2 linked regions of the Caenorhabditis elegans genome follow. The protein of the gene in region 1 interacts with the protein of each later gene in a pairwise test. Each region holds a gene or a part of one and is shown on either strand. Other genes may lie near its edges.

Evidence for each region. Proteins that work in one complex are often made in the same cells at the same time.
Region 2: the proteins of picc-1 (region 1) and jac-1 interact in binary tests that used the Caenorhabditis elegans proteins (3 or more experiments, as listed by UniProt).

The regions. Positions count from the first base shown.
Region 1 is NC_003283.11:6,016,855-6,020,609, reverse strand, and holds the start of picc-1 (PAC-1 interacting and coiled-coil domain-containing protein 1), read right to left. Parts: upstream 1,617-3,755; 5' UTR 1,605-1,616; coding exon 1,580-1,604; intron 1-1,579. Other genes in the region: aps-1 (AP complex subunit sigma), read right to left, coding at 1,860-2,151, 2,406-2,509, 2,558-2,635; rpt-2 (putative 26S proteasome regulatory subunit 4), read left to right, coding at 2,942-3,104, 3,151-3,371, 3,417-3,755. UniProt on the Caenorhabditis elegans protein: Linker protein which helps to recruit the Rho GTPase-activating protein, pac-1, to adherens junctions.
Region 2 is NC_003282.8:16,024,736-16,028,490, forward strand, and holds the start of jac-1 (Fibronectin type-III domain-containing protein), read right to left. Parts: upstream 2,113-3,755; coding exon 1,958-2,112; intron 1,819-1,957; exon of another isoform or gene 1,794-1,818; intron 1,698-1,793; exon of another isoform or gene 1,677-1,697; intron 1,654-1,676; exon of another isoform or gene 1,633-1,653; intron 1,421-1,632; exon of another isoform or gene 1,400-1,420; intron 1,255-1,399; exon of another isoform or gene 1,234-1,254; intron 1,072-1,233; exon of another isoform or gene 1,045-1,071; intron 894-1,044; exon of another isoform or gene 873-893; intron 836-872; exon of another isoform or gene 815-835; intron 687-814; exon of another isoform or gene 663-686; intron 317-662; exon of another isoform or gene 296-316; intron 33-295; exon of another isoform or gene 9-32; intron 1-8. UniProt on the Caenorhabditis elegans protein: May act as a positive modulator of hmr-1 function during epidermal morphogenesis. Required for proper localization of other junctional components, such as pac-1.

The sequences.
Region 1 (3,755 bases):
AGTAAATGAAAATGGATAGTCTCGTTCGATTTAGGTGTCGAAGTTAATGCCCCGAATGAAAGAGGAAAAGGTGGATTAGACGATACTTTCATGAGGAACAACAGACAAAAAAAGACAGTGTAAAAACTGAAAGAAAAAGAGATGGTATCTCGATAAAGGTTCCCACACAACTAATCTGATCTTATAGATACATAGAGAGAGGATTACGTCTATTTTATTCAGCGCAATATTGTGTGCACAATAACGTTGCAGAAGAACACATATGACGATAAATAATTGACGTTGGTTAATAGACGTATTCTGACTAGGAAATGAGGGCACCGTCACGTTTCCGGGAAGTATATGCAATAGGAAGACTGTTTCAGTCTGTTCGCACCTTTTACTGGTTGCACCATCTGGGCAGCTGTGTAGCAAAATTAAGTGTCTAATCTGTTTTTAGAGTATTGATAGGTGTGAAAACTTCCAAAAAACTAAAAAAAAAAGGTTACGATTTTGAACTGGAATTATAGTAATTGCAAATATGCTTGGTTCTGTCATCAATTGCAAAATAAAGGTTTGCCAGTAAGAGTACGACCTCAAATTGCAAGTCGTTTGGCGGGAAACAAGAAGTGAACACGGCAGGGTGCCAACATTCACACTTTCGTCGCAACTTGCGAGAACAAAACCTGGTTTAGTTCTGCGTACCCACAAAAACCAATTACTTGTACATTGCTATTAGGAAAAACTATTATCGATTTTCAACATGTGATTATTTTTAATGCACCACGTAAAGCTAATTTAAATCTACCAAGTGAAAAATGGAGTTCCGTTGAATTATATACATTTATTGTTATTACTTGAAATCGTTCTTTCCTAAAGTTAAAAGCAACTGGGAAGCGTTATTTCGAACCAACTCTTTGGCTGATTTTCAAGACTGAAAAAAATAGCGAGGTTTGTTTATGATTTCTAGGGTCTCATGGACTGCGAATATTGAAAATGCGAATACTTATTCAAATAATGTGATGCGTACTTCTGCTTTCTGCCAAGATTTTAGATCAAAAATTAACTACGACTCAAAAACTAGGTGAAAGAACAAGTGTGTGCTGGAGCAAATTGATGGATACTTGAGAGAATGAGTGAATCCGCGCGGAAACATTTCCCGCTGTCTCCGCCTTCACTGCCCTTGTTCAATGTAAAACCAAAAACAATGCAAAGTATAGTGGATGGGAAGAGGAAGAAGTATTGGGCAGAAAACATGAAGAGGACACAAACATCTACTGTACGAAAATGATTAAACTTTGAGAAAACGGAAGTGATCGAAACAATTTTGACTAGTTTAATCATACTTATCGAAATTTCAGATAAATGATATTTTGAAATTCGACACCAACAAGAAGGTGAACATTGTGCTTTGTAATCTAACAAATGACAATTCCGGCAGAGGTGCCAATCATTCCTACATTCATTCCGTTCGAACTGACATGTTACACTGCCAACGTTCGCATATTACCCCCCGTTGAATTATCCTTGAATCCACCTTTCCCCTGTTCGTGTTTTACACTCATGTGCGGGAAACTCGGCAAAATTCACATTAGCTCACCTCGTCTCGGAGTTGTGATAATCATCCGCTTCGAAACCTGAGAAAGTTCAAAACTTTAAAGAAAAAATTGAAAAAAGTGTAGAAATAATGCAAGTCATGCATTGAAGTTTCCTAACAGAAAGAATACATAATGGAAGATTGAAAAATGAATGTTTTCTTCTCTTATTCACATGAATATTATCACAACCAGACACATAGCCAGGATAAATAAAGTAAGGTGGAAGTATTTGGTATTTACGGAAGCTTTCAAAGTCAATAAATTATGTTACTATTATCTTCATTATCCCAAACCGTGATCCTCGAAGAATCCTTGTGGAGTTTCTTCTTCTTGAATGAGATCTTGGGCAGCAATCGCCTTCAAAACTTGTTTTTTACTGGTTTCCTGGATTTCACCAGCCAGTAAAAATTCGTCGAGTATGAAGTAAGCTTTTTCGAAGTTGAAGATGATATCCAGCTCACAAACACTTCCAAAATATTTGTCGAGGAGTTCTACGTAACGATGAATGACTTCCAAAGTGATGAGCTCGTTGTCGTTTTGTTCGATGGCGCAGCAGAAATACAGAGACGCGTATCTGAAATTGTTGAGATTAAAAATTGAACGAATTGTTAAGTTTTTGTTTCATTTATCACAAAAATGTCTATTAAACAACTAAATTTGACGCCAAAATATTTTTCATGAATAAAAAACGTAATAACTTCGGATTTAGGTGTGTAACTATAATTTTCAAGAAATTTTGATTATAAACTTGTAAGTTATTTTCAGAAGGAACAATTTTAAGGCATGACAGGAAATGGGAGTTGTTACTTTTGAATATAAAATACGAACCGTTTGTAGACAACTTTCAAATCCTTGTATTCGAGGAACGCACACATTTTCGGTTTTCTCGCCAGAATTTGAGTGATGAGTTCGCGGCAAATTTTCTTCTTTTGCTGAAAATTGAGTGTGAAATTACACATATGAATAGGAAATACACTTACCTTGTCGGGGTAAGCAGTGTACCATTTCTGCAGCCGCAGTTTGCCCTGGCGACTGAAGAGAAGCATGTATTGCATCATGTTTACTGAAAACAAGAGTATGAACAATCGTTTGCAAACTTTAAAACGCTGAAAATACTTAAAAATCAATTGAAAAATTAGATTTTCTGAATAAAACAGACATGTGGCTTCGTCAATAAAAACAACGAAGCTCCGAAAATACGAAACCGCGCGTTGTTTAGTTCTCACCAGAGCGCGCTTGCATTGTCATCATCAACGCTGTATTTTTTTAAATCATTCTTCGTTCTACTTATTTTATATCTTTCAATTGTTTTCTTTTTCAAACGTGGACTTATTATTTTTCATATAAAATCATTATTTTCTAGAATGGGGCAACAACAGTCAGGTTTCGGTGGAAGAGGAAATGACCGCGGTGCCGGAGATGGAGAGAAGAAGGAAAAGAAGAAATATGAGGCACCGATTCCATCTAGGATTGGAAAGAAGAAGAAGGGGTCTAAGGGACCTGACGCCGCTAGCAAACTTCCAGCTGGTAAGTTTCAATCTAGTGTGTATTTTAACTGATGATTCGGTTTTAGTCACACCACATGCCAGATGCCGTCTGAAGTTGCTGAAGAGCGAAAGAATCAAGGATTATTTGTTGATGGAGCAAGAATTCATTCAAAACCAGGAGCGTTTGAAGCCACAAGAGGAGAGACAAGAAGAAGAGCGCGCCAAGGTGGACGAGCTCCGTGGAACACCAATGGCAGTCGGATCACTTGAGGAAATTATCGATGATCAGCACGCCATTGTTTCAACTGTAAGAATCAATATATCGATAATATTTTCTTATTTCAATATTTAGAACGTCGGAAGTGAGCATTACGTCAACATCATGTCATTCGTCGACAAGGAACAACTCGAGCCGGGATGTTCAGTCCTTCTCAACCACAAGAATCACGCCGTCATCGGAGTTCTCTCCGATGATACAGATCCTATGGTGTCTGTCATGAAGCTCGAAAAAGCACCACAAGAAACGTATGCCGATGTTGGTGGTCTTGATCAGCAAATTCAAGAAATTAAAGAAGCAGTTGAGCTTCCACTGACTCATCCTGAATACTACGAAGAGATGGGAATCCGGCCTCCAAAGGGAGTTATTCTATACGGTTGTCCTGGTACTGGAAAAACGCTACTTGCCAAGGCT
Region 2 (3,755 bases), on another chromosome or scaffold:
GTCAAATTTATTTCAAAGGTTAAGTAACAATAATATGAGTTTAACTTGCAAGTCGTTAAAAAACATATTGAAATAGTTTTTTTTGCCAAAATAAAGTGGCCTCGATAAAACTTTCATTAAGCAAACATTTTTTTTGCAAATTTTGAAGAAAATTAACTTGGAATACACTTAAATAAAAACTGCTATTAAAACATTCAAATGTTCAATTTATTCTTATTTATGGTAGGCTGGTTACATTAAAAAATTTTTAACTTGGTTTTGCAGTTTCAGTTGCATATACATTGTCAAACAAAAATTAGATTTAACTATTTTTGGATCTGATAACCAAAAATGTTCGGAAAAAAGTATAAACCCTTGAAACCGAAACTATTTTTTTCAATTTCTAAAGTTTTGCCGCAACTCAAAAGTTGCAATAAATGACCACTAGCGTCGTCGTTCCAATCCAATGATATACCAATAAAACATAGCCGAAACGAATATTAATGACAATAATAAACATTTTGTAGACCTGGCTGAGAGATAGTGTGGGATTTGGAGAGACGGAAGACACAACACTAATCCGATGCAAAAACGGAAAAAATAGGACGGACTGTTTGTATTTGGCGGCGGTTAGGGTTTTGAAACGGCTTTTTTGGAGGGAATTAAAGAGAGGTGAGATGGGAATATCGGATGAATTAATGGCACTATCTTTAATCAATTTAAGTAGTTTTATCTAAACAATTTGAAACAGTAGAAATTTATTTTTCGCAGTCGAGAATTTTAGAATACCGACTTTATGCAGAATTAGGTTGCTTTTAGAGAAATTATCAACTTTCAAAATATATCTGGTTTCCGACTGCCTTTTTATTTTCGAGAACTAATATGTTAAGCAATAGAAACAGTCGGAAAAAAGTTTCCAAAATTTTTTCCTTGACAAACTCCGATTTTCTATTTTTTAACGAAATATTTTACTACTTTTCAGAAAGAAAATTTTGAAATAGGCAACTTTTAACCAGTAATTTGTTTTACAAAAAGTGGTGGAACAACGGTCAAAAAGTGGTTGATTTCTCTGCGTTTTGTTCAAGAGCGAGAATGTCACTCAATTCAGAGCAGTTTTATCTTAAGGTGTAAAAACAGTAGAAAAAAGTTGATACCAAATTGTAGAACAAAACACTTTCTGTATTATTGCTTTGAATATTTTGGATTTTCATAAATATTTTAAAGAGAAGATCGTAAGCTATGCAGTACTACTAGAAAGGACAGGCACTTAAATCAATATTTAATGGAAAATTAAAGGTTTTATTTGGGAAACTAGAAAAAGTAAAAATAAGTGTTAGATTTTTTAGCTAAAAGCCGAGATTTGCTGTTGTTATGCAGAATTAGTTCGTTTTTGAAAAAATACACTACTTTCGTTTCAGCTTGTCAACGAGACCCTATGAGACTGCCCTTCTATTTTGGAGCAGTTATATCTTAAGAACTAGAAACAGTTTTTTTTTTAATTTTTAAACTTAATTTCTAGTTTCGGAATTTTAACTATTTTTTTAATACGCAATCAGTTATTTCTTTTGTTTTTTTTTAATTTTAAGAGTATCAATTTGAATGTGTGAGATTATTCAGAGAAAAAAATCGAGATCATATATAATAAAAACTTATCTGTTTTTCTTTGATGTCAAAAAGAGCTTAGATATTTTCAGTGATATCTAAGGAACTTGAAACTTTAGAACATTTTGTTGGCTGAAAATTTAATTTTCTTCAAATAAATATGTTCTATGCCCAATTTTTAAGTTAGTTTTTGATCAATTTTTCATTTCTGGTTTTGAAGTTCGATTTCAAAAATAAGTGCTTTTCTATTTCCTTGTACTACTTCTCAAGAACCAGAAACTGCAAAACTTTTTTTTTCAATTTCAAAATTAATTCAAACTTTGAGATCTCTTTCAAACCCCTCCCAAAAATAAAAATTCCAAAAAAAAAAACTAACCTAACTAGCGTATTAATCTGTTCCGAAGTGTACACCTCCTTCTTTCGCATCGTCCTTTTAGCGGTATCCGACATAGCTCCCCACTCGGAGCCATCCGCCTCGGTTCCCTCCTCTGGTATGGGCTCCATTTCTTGCATCCACCCCGAGGAGATCATCTGTAAAATGTTGGGATTTTGAGGAGGAATTATTGATTATTTAAAAAGTGGACGGAGAGTTGAGAGAAAATGTTAACAATGAGACATCAGATATGGTTTTATAACAGTGCTTATGAGTACTATGTGAAAAAGTGAATTTTTTTCAAAATTTTTTTTTAAAACAAAATTTCACCTATTCACATTTTCGATTTATTTTGCAAAAATTTCACGAACAATTACGTGATCTAGTTCCGAATAGAAAAAATAACATTTTGATATGCATTCAGGAATAATTGTAAATTTTAGTATTCTATGGAGAATTCTGTTAAAACCTTGAATTAGCAGTTTTAATAGAAATCTCAAAATTAATTATGACAATTTTAATCAATTTTTGAGTGAAGTGAGAATTTTCATACGAAAAATATATATTTACTGCATCGTAGTACAATTAGTTTTATTATAAAATTAGCTTTTTTTGTGAACATTCTGAAACAGTACTTGTCAGTAGAGTAGAGAACAAAACAGACCGATTTTTGAATAATTCTTGAAACGGCCAGTTTTCTCAAAATCGAAGCGTTTTTCAATTGAAAACAAAACGATTTAAGACATTTCTGAAACGGTGAAATTTGTTTTTTCGAAAATGCAAAAAACTCCACAATTTTTTCCAGAAATCAACGCGTATTCCGGATTTCTAGCAACAAAAAACGTTATGCGACGAAGATAATACATTTTCCTCTTAAGAAATTAACTTTTCAGCAGTTGTAGAAATTTTTTTGAAAAATAATGTTTCAAGTTATCCATTTATTATCGTAAAATTTGCTTCTACATTGAGTACAGCTCACATTCAAAAATTGGTAATTCTTTAAAACTTTCATTGAGAAACTTTCTAACAATCAAAAATTCCTAAATTAATTGAAAAATTTTGAAAACGAATTTGACGATTTTCTGCACAATTTCGGAATTTTCGTAGAAAAATTTCAAAAAAAAGCTTTTTTTAAAAAATATCATTTTTTGAAAAAAAAACCGTAAATTATGAAGAACTGTTAGTAAACCGAGTAATATTACAAAAATGCAGATGAAATTTTGGGAAAAGTCAAACATTTTCATCCAAAAGTCATTTTTTTCAAATTTTTAATAATAATTTTAATTATTCTGTAAGAATTCAACGTAATATGCCACGTGGAAGAAAGTTTAGGATGGAAACAAATCTAATTACTCAAGTAAACACCATACTGCAAGTTAAAAAATTTATTTGTTTATATGTTACTTTTGAAACGGCAAATTTTTTTTCCAAAATTGTCTTTTTTTTAATAGCGAGATTCATGGAAAATATAAAAATGCTCCAAAACTTCTATTTTCGAAAAGAACAGTAAAACCAAAAAAAGCCAAACCAAAAATATCATAATTATTAATCAAAGCACCCGTCTCCCATCGGAGGTGGTAGACAATTGGTGGGTGCAAATAAATTTTTTTTGAGCAAGATTGATGAGCCGCGATTTGGAGGGAGCCGCTGAGGATCCCAGTGGGAAAAGTGTAAGAGAAGGCACTTTTTGGTGGGAAATTTGAAAAAAATTTAGGATTAAAATTGTTTCTGTTTCAAAATGTTTTCAAAGTTAAAGACAAAGTTAATGTGAAGTTTTATCTCAAAATGTTCATTTTAAGCG